Linked DNA regions of Pelodiscus sinensis. The protein of the gene in region 2 purifies or fractionates together with the protein of the main gene of each other region. This does not show direct contact. Links are inferred from orthologs where the notes say so. Each region holds a gene or a part of one and is shown on either strand. Other genes may lie near its edges.

Region 1 (3,741 bases), on a different chromosome or scaffold from region 2:
AAGCCTCGTGCCCCTGTGTTCTGAGCGGCTCTGGGGCTCTCCTCCACGTCCTGTCCTAAACAGCAAACCACTGCTGCCCCCAAGCCTCGTGCCCGTGTTCTGAGCGGGTCTGGGGCTCTCCTCCACGTCCTGTCCTAAACAGCAAACCACTGCTGCCCCCAAGCCTCGTGCCCGTGTTCTGAGCGGGTCTGGGGCTCTCCTCCACGTCCTGTCCTAAACAGCAAACCACTGCTGCCCCCAAGCCTCGCACCCGTGTTCTGAGCGGGTCTGGGGCTCTCCTCCACGTCCTGTCCTAAACGGCTGCGAGCGAGGCGGGAGGAAGACAAAGCAGCCCGTGCCACGCAGGGGTGGGGTGCAGCCCCTGCCTGGACCCACCCGTACTGGCTCTGGGGCTTGCGGCAGGACAAGGGGGGGGTCAGGGTCCGATAACTCCCAAGGATCCCCCCCACGCTCACCCCTGGGGCCGCAGGGCGCACCCCGAAGGAGGCTGACGTGGGAGCACCAGCCCCCAGCAGGGTGAACCCCCGGCCCATCTACAACAGAGCAGAGCCCCACGGCCTGGGGGGCTGGACCCCAACAGGGAGCTCAGACGGGGGTCTCCATGAGGGGGGCAGCAGCGGGCCGGGGGCTCAGACGGGGTCACCCTCACGGGCTGGCAGCGGGGAGCCTGGGGGGGCAAGTGCGAGGGTCACACGGGGGTAAGTGGGGGAGGCTGCAGACTTGGGAGGACCAAAACTCAGGGGTAGGGCGAGGGACGGGGGAGGGGTTCTTGGGGGGACTGTCAGGCTCGTGGAGGGGGGCGGAAGGGGTCGCGGAGGGGGACAGGAGGGGTCGTGGTTGGCGGGGGGGAAACTGGTGGGGGGGGTCGCGGCTTGCGGGGGGGACTCACGGGGGGGCGGTTGGCGGGGGGGCTCGCGAGGGGGGGGCGGTTGGCGGGGGGCGGACACTCGGGTGGGGAGGTTGGCCCGGGGGGGCGGTTGGAGGGGGGGTCACTCACCGCCAGCGCAGCTCGGGCGACAGCAGCGCGGGGGGGGGGGTGGTTGGCGGGGGGGGCGGTTGGCGGGGGGCGGCTCGCGGGGGGAGGTTGGCGGGGGGGAGGTTGGCGGGGGGGGCTCAAGGGGGGGCGGTTGGCGGGGGGGGCTCACGGGGGGAGCTCGCGGGGGGGGGTTGGCCCGGGGGGGCGGTTGGCGGGGGGGGGCGGTTGGCCCGGGGGGGCGGGGGAGGCTCGCGGGGGGGCGGTTGGCGGGGGGGGGGTTGGCCCGGGGGGGCGGTTGGGGCCCGGGGGGGGGCGGTTGGCGGGGCGGGGGGGGCTCGCGGGGGGGGGTTGGCCCGGGGGGGCGGTTGGCGGGGGGGGGGTTGGCCCGGGGTGGCGGGGGGGGCTCGCGGGGGGGCGGTTGGCCCGGGGGGGCGGTTGGGGCCCGGGGGGGGCGGTTGGCGGGGCGGGCACGCGGGGGGGGTTGGCCCGGGGGGGCGGTTGGCGGGGCGGGGGGGGTTGGCCCGGGGGGGCGGTTGGGGCCCGGGGGGGGGGCGGTTGGGGCCCGGGGGGGGTTGGCCCGGGGTGGCGGGGGGGGCTCGCGGGGGGGCGGTTGGCGGGGGGGGGTTGGCCCGGGTGGCGGGGGGGGCTCGCGGGGGGGTTGGCCCGGGGGGGCGGTTGGCGGGGGGGGGGGTTGGCCCGGGTTGGCGGGGGGGGCTCGCGGGGGGGGTTGGCCCGGGGGGGCGGTTGGCGGGGGGGGGTTTGGCCCGGGTTGGCGGGGGGGGGCTCGCGGGGGGGGTTGGCCCGGGGGGGCGGTTGGCGGGGGGGGGCGGTTGGGGCCCGGGGGGGGCGGTTGGCGGGGCGGGGGGGGTTGGGGCCCGGGGGGGGCGGTTGGGGCCCGGGGGGGGTTGGCCCGGGGTGGCGGGGGGGGTTCGCGGGGGGGGCTCGCGGGGGGGCGGTTAGCGGGGGGGGGGTTGGCCCGGGGTGGCGGGGGGGCTCGCGGGGGGGCGGTTGGCGGGGGGGGGGTTGGCCCGGGGGGGGCTCGCGGGGGGGTCACTCACCGCCGGCGCAGCTCGGGCGGCAGCGGCGCGGGGGGGGGGGCGGCCCGGGCCGGCATCGGGGGCGCGGGCGGGAGCCGGGGCCGGAGACTGTTTCGCGCGGAAACCAGGCGCGGGGGGAGGGCGGGCGATACCATTCGCGGGGGGAGGGTTGTACCATTCTGCGGGCTGGGAGATTCCATCGGCGGGGGGGACGTGGGACAAACCATGCGGGAGGGGAGCCGGGCCTTGCAAGGCGGGTACCAAAGAGAGCGGGGCGGATGGGATGTACCATGCTCACCCAGGGCAGAGGGGTGGGATGTACCATCCTCGACGGGGAATCAACATGAATGCGGCGAGTGACGGACGAGCCGAACCATCTCCACGGAACAGGGGAGATGGAATGTCACACGTGCACCCAGGGACGGGGGGGGGGGGGGGATAGGAAATCCTAATTGGGCAGGGGGATGGGAAGTGTGTAAAACGGGAGATACCATCTTGGGGGAGCATGGAACGTACCACATGGCCCTATACCAGAGCAGAGACCGTTGGGATGCATCATAGTGGGAGGTACCAAGTGCAGTTAGGGCAGAGGTGTGACAGTTGGCATGTACCATTTTTATAGGGAGGGTTGGAATGCACCACGGGAAAGGTAGTACAGGGGGAGCTGGATGTACCAACCTCAGGGAGGTTGGGTTGGGATGTACCAAGTGAGCAGGACCTTTGGGATGTACCATGAAGGTGGGAGGGTGGTACTGCTCTTCCAGGGTTCCCACACACCGGTCTGTGCCAGGCACTGGGCTGTTCCGCACATCAGGCTGTGCCACACATCAGGCTGTGCCACGCGCTGGGCTGTGCCACACATCAGGCTGTGCCACACATCGGGCTGTGCCACGCGCTGGGCTGTGCCACACATCAGGCTGTGCCACACATCGGGCTGTGCCACGCGCTGGGCTGTGCCACACATCGGGCTGTGCCATGCGCTGGGCTGTGCCACACATCGGGCTGTGCCACACATCAGGCTGTGCCACACATCGGGCTGTGCCACGCGCTGGGCTGTGCCACACATCGGGCTGTGCCACGCGCTGGGCTGTGCCACACATCAGGCTGTGCCACGCGCTGGGCTGTGCCACACATCGGGCTGTGCCACGCGCTGGACTGTGCCACACATCAGGCTGTGCCACACATCGGGCTGTGCCACGCGCTGGGCTGTGCCACACATCGGGCTGTGCCACGCGCTGGGCTGTGCCACACATCAGGCTGTGCCACACATCGGGCTGTGCCACGTGCTGGGCTGTGCCACACATCAGGCTGTGCCACGCGCTGGGCTGTGCCACACGCTGGGCTGTGCCACACATCAGGCTGTGCCATGCGCTGGGCTGTGCCACACATCAGGCTGTGCCACGCGCTGGGCTGTGTCACACATCGGGCTGTGCCACGCGCTGGGCTGTGCCACACATCAGGCTGTGCCACACATCAGGCTGTGCCACGCGCTGGGCTGTGCCACACATCAGGCTGTGCCACGCGCTGGGCTGTGCCACACATCGGGCTGTGCCACGCGCTGGACTGTGCCACACATCAGGCTGTGCCACACATCGGGCTGTGCCACGCGCTGGGCTGTGCCACACATCGGGCTGTGCCACGCGCTGGGCTGTGCCACACATCAGGCTGTGCCACACATCGGGCTGTGCCACGTGCTGGGCTGTGCCACACATCAGGCTGTGCCACGCG
Region 2 (3,741 bases):
ACACACACAACAAGGGGGGGCTCACAGGACAAACACTGTCACAGAGATGGCGGGGGGGCCCCAAAGGACACAGACACGTCACACAGACAACAAGGGGGGGCTCACAGGACAAACACGGTCACAGAGATGGCGGGGGGGCCCCAAAGGACACAGACACGTCACACACACAACAAGGGGGGGCTCACAGGACAAACACTGTCACAGAGATGGCGGGGGGGCCCCAAAGGACACAGACACGGTCACACACACAACAAGGGGGGGCTCACAGGACAAACACTGTCACAGAGATGGCGGGGGGGCCCCAAAGGACACAGACACGGTCACACAGACAACAAGGGGGGCTCACAGGACAAACACGGTCACAGAGATGGCGGGGGGGGGCCCAAAGGACACAGACACGTCACACACACAACAAGGGGGGCTCACAGGACAAACACGGTCACAGAGATGGCGGGGGGGGGCCCAAAGGACACAGACACGTCACACAGACAACAAGGGGGGCTCACAGGACAAACACGGTCACAGAGATGGCGGGGGGGGCCAAAGGACACAGACACGGTCACACAGACAACAAGGGGGGGCTCACAGGACAAACACTGTCACAGAGATGGCGGGGGGGGCCAAAGGACACAGACACGGTCACACACACAACAAGGGGGGCTCACAGGACAAACACGGTCACAGAGATGGCGGGGGGGGCCCAAAGGACACAGACACGTCACACAGACAACAAGGGGGGGCTCACAGGACAAACACGGTCACAGAGATGGCGGGGGGCCCCAAAGGACACAGACACGGTCACACAGACAACAAGGGGGGCTCACAGGACAAACACGGTCACAGAGATGGCGGGGGGGGCCAAAGGACACAGACACGGTCACACACACAACAAGGGGGGCTCACAGGACAAACACGGTCACAGAGATGGCGGGGGGGGGCCCAAAGGACACAGACACGTCACACAGACAACAAGGGGGGGCTCACAGGACAAACACGGTCACAGAGATGGCGGGGGGGGTTCCGCACAGACGGCAGGGGTGGGCCCCAAAGGGCACAGACACGGTCACATGGACAGTGGGGGTCCCGCAGGACACAGACATGGTCGGGGAGGCAGTGTCATAGCCCAGGGCAGCAAGGCCATGTCTCAGGGCTCTTTGGGGAGCAGACCCAGCTCCGGAGAGAGGGCTTGGCCCCATCCCATGAGTGGCTGGAGGGACAGGACCTTGCTTCACAGGCCCAGCTCCAGGCACTGGAGAAGAGCCCCCTCCCCACAGCTGCGTCAGCCCTGAAGAGCTGCTCTCAGTCCTCACAGAGGCCACAAGCGATGGACTGCCTGCGTCGTGGGCCCCATGCGCCTCCCTGCCAAGCCCTTTTCTCAAGAGTGAGGAGTGGGCCGGGCTCAGACTCACCGACCAGGCAGGGTCAGTCCAGCAGACTTAGGCCCGACAGACCATACACCCCAAGCCCCCCAGGCTGGCTGGCGAGGAAAATGGGGCACTCTAGGGGCATCAGTTCCCATACAGCCCCAGAGGCGGGGCCTGGCTGGCTGAGCTGGGCAGAGAATATGGAGAAGGGATACACGAGGACATGGCTGAGGAGTTAGGCGATACATGGAGGGTGGGGCCCTGCCAAGGGCTCTCACCTCCTCAAAGAGCCGCTCGTTCTCAGCCTTGAAGCTGCCACCATCCTGCGTCACAGGCTCTGGTCTCTTGTCTGAGGCCCCGCTGGGCTGGGGGGAGGCAGGGGTGGGCTCTGGAGACGTAGCTGGGGGCAGCCCCTCCTCCTCATCATCCAGGACAATGATGTTGCTTGCCACTGCAGTGGCCATGGGCGCAGGTACCTGGCCAAGTTGGGGCTCAGAGCTGCGGGGCAGGCCTGAGGGCTGGGCGCATCCTGGGGGCAGGTATGGGGAGTAACCCCCGGTGCAGGTGGTCTGAGTCACACGCCGCAGTGCCTATGTGGGGAGATGAATTGGTGAGTGCTGGTCCCTACATCTCTTCTTCACCCCATGCGCAGCACCCACCCCCAATGCCAATTCTACTCCCGTGTCCCAGCCAGGAACCAGAGTTTGTCCTAGAGCCACCATCCTGGAATCCAGCGCCTGCCTCTCCCTGCAGCCTCATACACAGCCTCTATCCTGTGCCATCCCAGATCCCAACCTCCCCCTGCCTGCCGAGTACTCTTCCTAAATCACCATCGGCAGACTTTACACCCCCCAGAGGCACAGGCATCGTACCCACCCCGTACAGAGTCCCAGCATGCAGACAAGGGTCCAAGATACCTGGCTTATGGAGGCTCTATCTTCCAAGCACTGCTCCTGGGATCTCTCTGACGACACCAAAGGGTGCCCCTCCCCCCCCCCAGCAATCTCCTGCCTTGGGCCTCCAAACCAAAGGAAAACAGGGGTGGAAGAATAAGGACATACACAATATCTCCCACATGATGTATTATTTTGACAGCTGCAAGGTGGGGGACACACCTCAGAACTGAGCATGGACAAACCATCTGCCCAGGTCAAGAACAGCAAGACAGACTGGATACAGTCTCTCCCCACCCGAGTACCAAGGAAGTGTCTGCTCAGCTCCCCCCAGCCCTGCCCAGCACTGCCCCCAGTCTTGGCACTCACACACTGCCAAGAGGGACAGCTGTGATCCTCAGAACACAACTTCCCCCACACGGCTCCTGGGGCAGAGTTGTCAGCCAACATCCAATTCCGATCAAACACTGGCCCACGCCCAGGGAGACTACTCCCCTGGGTCTGGCCCTCAAGGTACAAACGTGTCCGTTACTGCCAACTGAATGGATCTCCCTTCAAGTCCCAGCCCTTTGGTCCTGGCAGATCTTCCTCCACTACACTGAAGACTCTATTGGCTTGTATGGAGGCACCCAGAGCCTGTTACCAAGACACTCCATTCATGGTCTCCTCCCAAAGCTAAACAGCTGGAACTCCTGGACCCTGGTTTTCCAGCCCTTCCTGTGGCTCCAGTTTTGCCACATCCATCCTGAACTGTGGGCTGCAGAGCTGGGCCCACGATGCTAGCAGCAGTGGCACCAGGGCTGGTGCAGAAGGAAAGTATCCCCTGTGCTCCTACCACACTCCCAGGTTTCCACATCCCAGGGGGCAGCCACCCTAAGAGCAAGTGTCAGGCTAGGAGCTCCAGGCCACTGATTATACACCCCCCCATCCCAGATTGATGGGCTGCCCCCCACTCCTGCCAGGCCCCCACCCCCATTTGCCCTGACCCTCCCTCAGTCCCACCACCATGCTTCCCCTCCCCCCTCTCCTTGCTCTGCCCCCCTCAGCCCCACCCCCCCAGCCCTGATTCCCCTCCTTGCCCCGCCCCTCCCTCAGCCCCACCCCCACGCCAAGCCCCCAGCCCTGATTCCCCTCCTTGCCCCGCCCCTCCCTCAGCCCCACCCCCACGCCAAGCCCCCAGCCCTGATTCCCCTCCTTGCCCCGCCCCTCCCCCACGCCAAGCCCCCAGCCCTGATTCCCCTCCTTGCCCCGCCTCACGCCAAGCCCCCCAGCCCTGATTCCCCTCCCCCACTCCTTGCCCCGCCCCACGCCAAGCCCCCCAGCCCTGATTCCCCTCCCCCACTCCTTGCCCCGCCCCGCCCCACGCCAAGCCCCCCAGCCCTGATTCCCCTCCCCCACTCCTTGCCCCGCCCCGCCCCACGCCAAGCCCCCCAGCCCTGATTCCCCTCCCCCACTCCTTGCCCCGCCCCGCCCCACGCCAAGCC
Region 3 (3,741 bases), on a different chromosome or scaffold from region 2:
GTCTGGAGGTGCTGGTACCACGACTGGAGGTTCTGGTACCACGACTGGAGGTGCCGGTACTGTGTCTGGAGGTGCTGGTACCATGACTGGAGGTGCTGGTACCACGACTGGAGGTGCCAGTACTGTGTCTGGAGCTGCCGGTACTGCGTACAGGACAGTACCATCACAAAAAAAGCACTGGGTGGGCAGCTGCCATCCTGCTCTGTGCAGTGCACTCAGCCAGCACGCGAGTGGGTGCGCCCCCTCCTCCCCGAGTGGAGAGCTAATCCCCAGCTTCAGCAGAACTGTGCGAAGTCAGTGGAAGGAGCTGCTGCACTGGTAATGAGGTTGGGGACAATGTTCCCCCCCAATTTCTTCCAGGTGCAGAATAAATTTTGCTATGCGCGCCAAGGCATGTGCACCACCAGTAGGAACACCCGCTGCCGACCGACTACGGGGGCTCTGCTAATCAGCTGGGAAGTATCTGAACCTCTCCTGCATGGCCGCCCAAGCGCTCAGCTTCCAGGGAACACTGGCTGGGGGGCAGCCTAGCTCCAGGCTGAGAGTGATGAGACTTGGGAGCTGGCAATCAATCGCCTTGTCATGGGCATGGTGGGTGGGCACCGGATCCTCTGCAGCTGGTCCCAGTAAGGACGTGGCAGGTTTGATACCGGATCCTGCCCTGCCCCGCGCAGGCAGTGTGAGAGGGCTCCTTGTGTACCGGCCCCTTGCAGCCGGACAGGGCACAGGGTGGGGCAGGGGTGCAGGGGGACGCTGGCCCTCCTTTGGCAGCTGAGCTGGAGGCAGGCTGAGCCCAGCTTGTTCTCTCACTGCTCCTCAGCCACCCACGGACTGTATCTCACGGCTCTCCTCCTCCTCATTCCCCAGCTCACCCCCGCCCCTCCCTCCTCTTTCCATTGCCTCCCATGTGCTGCCCCTGCCCATCCACGCAGCCATGCGCTTCTCAGTCACTGCACCATCCACCCTCCCACACCTCGCAGCCCCCTCCTCTTTCCCCACCTGCACCCAGCCCCATTGTACAGCTGGGGAACTGAGGCCCAGAGAGATTAAGTGACTTGCTCAAGGCCACACAAGCAGGCTGTGGCAGGGCCCAAGCCCTAAACTCAGCTCTCCTGAACCCCAGTCGTGTCTTCACTACCCAGCCAACCCACTGCAGCCAGATACTGGGGAGCCAGCACCCTTCCCCGCTTCTTTGCAGGCCCAGCGTAGCCGTGGGATGACGAAGGGCCTGGGAGGACGCGGGCAGAGCCTGACAGCTGACCTGCTGCTCATCAGCAGTGACTGGCCCGCATGTAATCTCCATGAATAGCCAGCTGAACTGCCTGGCTAAAAATAACCAGCTGCCTTTTCATAAGGGGCCAGCCCGCGGGGCTGCTCGAGAGACGCCCGCTCGTTCCCCTCCCGCCACAGCCAGAGCAGCCAGGCCAGAGCAGGAGTGCACCATGTCAGAGCGCCGGGTGCCCTTCACTTTCCTGCGCAGCCCCAGCTGGGACCCCTGGCGGGACTGGTACCTGGGCAGCCGGCTCTTCGATCAGTCTTTCGGGATGCCCCAAATGCTGGAGGACTGGTACAAGTGGCCGAGCAGCACCAACTGGCCGGGCTACCTCCGCCTGCTGCCCAGCCAGGCCGCCGAGCCGCTGGCCGTCCCCAGCCCCATCGTCACCTCCCCCACCTCCCCTAACCCTGCCTACAGCCGGGCCCTGAGTCGCCAGCTCAGCAGCGGTATCTCGGAGATCCGGCAGACAGCGGACAGCTGGAAGGTTGCCCTCGACGTCAACCACTTTGCCCCGGAGGAGCTGGTGGTGAAGACCAAGGAGGGTGTGGTGGAGATAACCGGTGAGTGCTTCCTTCCGCTCCTCCTGGCTCTGGAGAGGGGCAGCCGTCTCCTGTGAGCCTGAGCTGTTCTCCCTGTGCTGAGCCCTAGGCCTGCTGCACATGCCCCCCCACAGGGCTGGATTACCCAATAGGCAGACTAAGCATGTGCTTAGGGCACCCGCAAAGCCGGGCCACCAAAAAAAAGAGATTTTACGGTATAGTATTGTTTTTATTTTGAATTACATGGGGGGGGCACCATCATCTTTTCAGTGCTTAGGGCCTCTAAAGGTCTTAATCCGGCTCTGCCCCCCTAGAGCAAGGTGAGTGACACAGGCCCCACTGGGCCTGGTCTGTGAGAGGTGGCTGCAGCCCCCCTCAGGCCGGCCTGGCTGCCGCCTGTGGCCCCGGACGGCCAGGATTCAAAGGCTCCATTCAGGCTGGAGGATTCCTCCTGCCGAGATGGTGGGGCACTGGTGCACCCTTCACTCTCTCGAACCTCCAGCCCTCGACTCGGCGCCTCTCACTATATCGCTCATGCCTCCAAGCGGGCCGTTGCCTGCCCCCCCTTATTCCCCCATCCCCACAGCCTTGAGGAGTGGATGCAGCCAGCCGGCCCCCTCTGTTTCCTGTGAGGGGCCATGTTCCACCCCACCGCACGCTAGGGAGCCGCTTGCTCCAGCAGGTCGAAGAGGGAAAGGGCTTGCTCAGCCACCTAAATCCATGCAAGCCATGGGATGGGGGAAGACTACGCTTGTTATTCCATTCCGGCTGAATATTTGTATTCCAGACCCCTCTAGAGACCTCAGCCTAGAGCAGGGCCCCCTTGGGCTGGGTTCTCTACAAACATAGTAAGAAATAGACCCTGCCCCAACAAGCAGTTGGTCTAAATAGACAAAAGGGGAGGAGGGAAACTGAGGCAGGGGGCTGTAATATAACTTATCACCCAGCAGGTCTGTGACAGAGCTGGGGACAGACCCCAAGCTTCAATGAGTCCCCGGCTCACAGCCTAGCCCCCAGCCCTCACTACCCCCTAGGGCCCTCTCTCGAAAGCGAGGAGCCTTGTACCCTTGGGGGGTCTGGGCCCGAGGGCTTTCCAAGTTCACACACGCCCTTAGCAGTGAGTGCTCCGGCAGCCTGGCGAATCTCCTCTAGAGCATCATTAAAGATGGTGGCTTCACTCTCGGGGGAATCGTGTGGGCCTCGCTGCTGGATTTGAATCGTGACCCTTCCAGCTTTTTCTCTCCCTCCCTGGCTCAGATCCCAAACGAGAGCTCGGCAAAACATCTCCCAGCCCAGCAATCGCCATCACAATGGCAGGGAGCAAAGCCGAGGGTGCGGGGAGGAAGGAGGAGTCCCCTCACTGCCGTTTTCAGCCACTTCTGCAACACACTGCAGGCTGGCCCCCTCTGGTCCGGGACTCTGGGGTCCGTCTTGCCAGCAGCTGGGAGTGGTGCCAGGCTGGCAGCCTGCGGGACCAGTGTCCGGGGGATGGGGAGCCATACCAGCAGCCGGAGTGGAGCCCTGGTGGCCAGTGGAGCTGGTGGCTGGGGACAGTGGAGCCCCAGAGCAGGTGGGCCGGGAGCAGTGTGTTGGAGGAGAGCCCCAGGAGAGCCCAGAGGCCTGACCTCCCCTGGTCGGGCAAGCCCCTTGTTTGGGACCTCTCAGGTCCCCAGGATGCTGGACCGGGGAGGTCCAACCTGTAACGAAATATTTTCAAACAAATGTTAAACTAAGGCCCTGTGGCCTCCCATGGGACATTCAGACGCTGTCAGTCTGGACCAGGGGTGGGCACATGCGGGTGAAATGGCTCCGTTGCTGCTGGAATGGTTCTTTCCCAGGTTCAGTGTCTGCTCTTAGCCCCGGCTGGCTTTGTCACTGGTAGCTAGATCCTCTCTGGAGGAAGCAGAGCCACAGAACAGGGATAGG

What was found.
Region 1: the proteins of DAXX (region 2) and DNMT1 purify together in Homo sapiens (affinity purification with western blotting; 4 studies listed by BioGRID, with this or other methods). This does not show direct contact. The link is inferred for Pelodiscus sinensis from reciprocal best matches to the Homo sapiens genes DAXX and DNMT1.
Region 3: the proteins of DAXX (region 2) and HSPB1 purify together in Homo sapiens (affinity purification with western blotting; 3 studies listed by BioGRID and IntAct, with this or other methods). This does not show direct contact. The link is inferred for Pelodiscus sinensis from reciprocal best matches to the Homo sapiens genes DAXX and HSPB1.

What each region holds. Positions count from the first base shown.
Region 1 is NC_134729.1:15,028,546-15,032,286, forward strand, and holds the start of DNMT1 (DNA (cytosine-5)-methyltransferase 1), read right to left. Parts: upstream 2,136-3,741; 5' UTR 2,091-2,135; coding exon 2,035-2,090; intron 1-2,034. UniProt on the Homo sapiens protein: Methylates CpG residues. Preferentially methylates hemimethylated DNA. Associates with DNA replication sites in S phase maintaining the methylation pattern in the newly synthesized strand, that is essential for epigenetic inheritance.
Region 2 is NW_027465970.1:8,370-12,110, reverse strand, and holds the start of DAXX (death domain-associated protein 6), read right to left. Parts: upstream 2,599-3,741; 5' UTR 2,495-2,598; coding exon 2,282-2,494; intron 1,955-2,281; coding exon 1,643-1,954; intron 1-1,642. UniProt on the Homo sapiens protein: Transcription corepressor known to repress transcriptional potential of several sumoylated transcription factors. Down-regulates basal and activated transcription.
Region 3 is NC_134731.1:15,444,169-15,447,909, forward strand, and holds the start of HSPB1 (heat shock protein beta-1), read left to right. Parts: upstream 1-1,371; 5' UTR 1,372-1,442; coding exon 1,443-1,836; intron 1,837-3,741. UniProt on the Homo sapiens protein: Small heat shock protein which functions as a molecular chaperone probably maintaining denatured proteins in a folding-competent state. Plays a role in stress resistance and actin organization.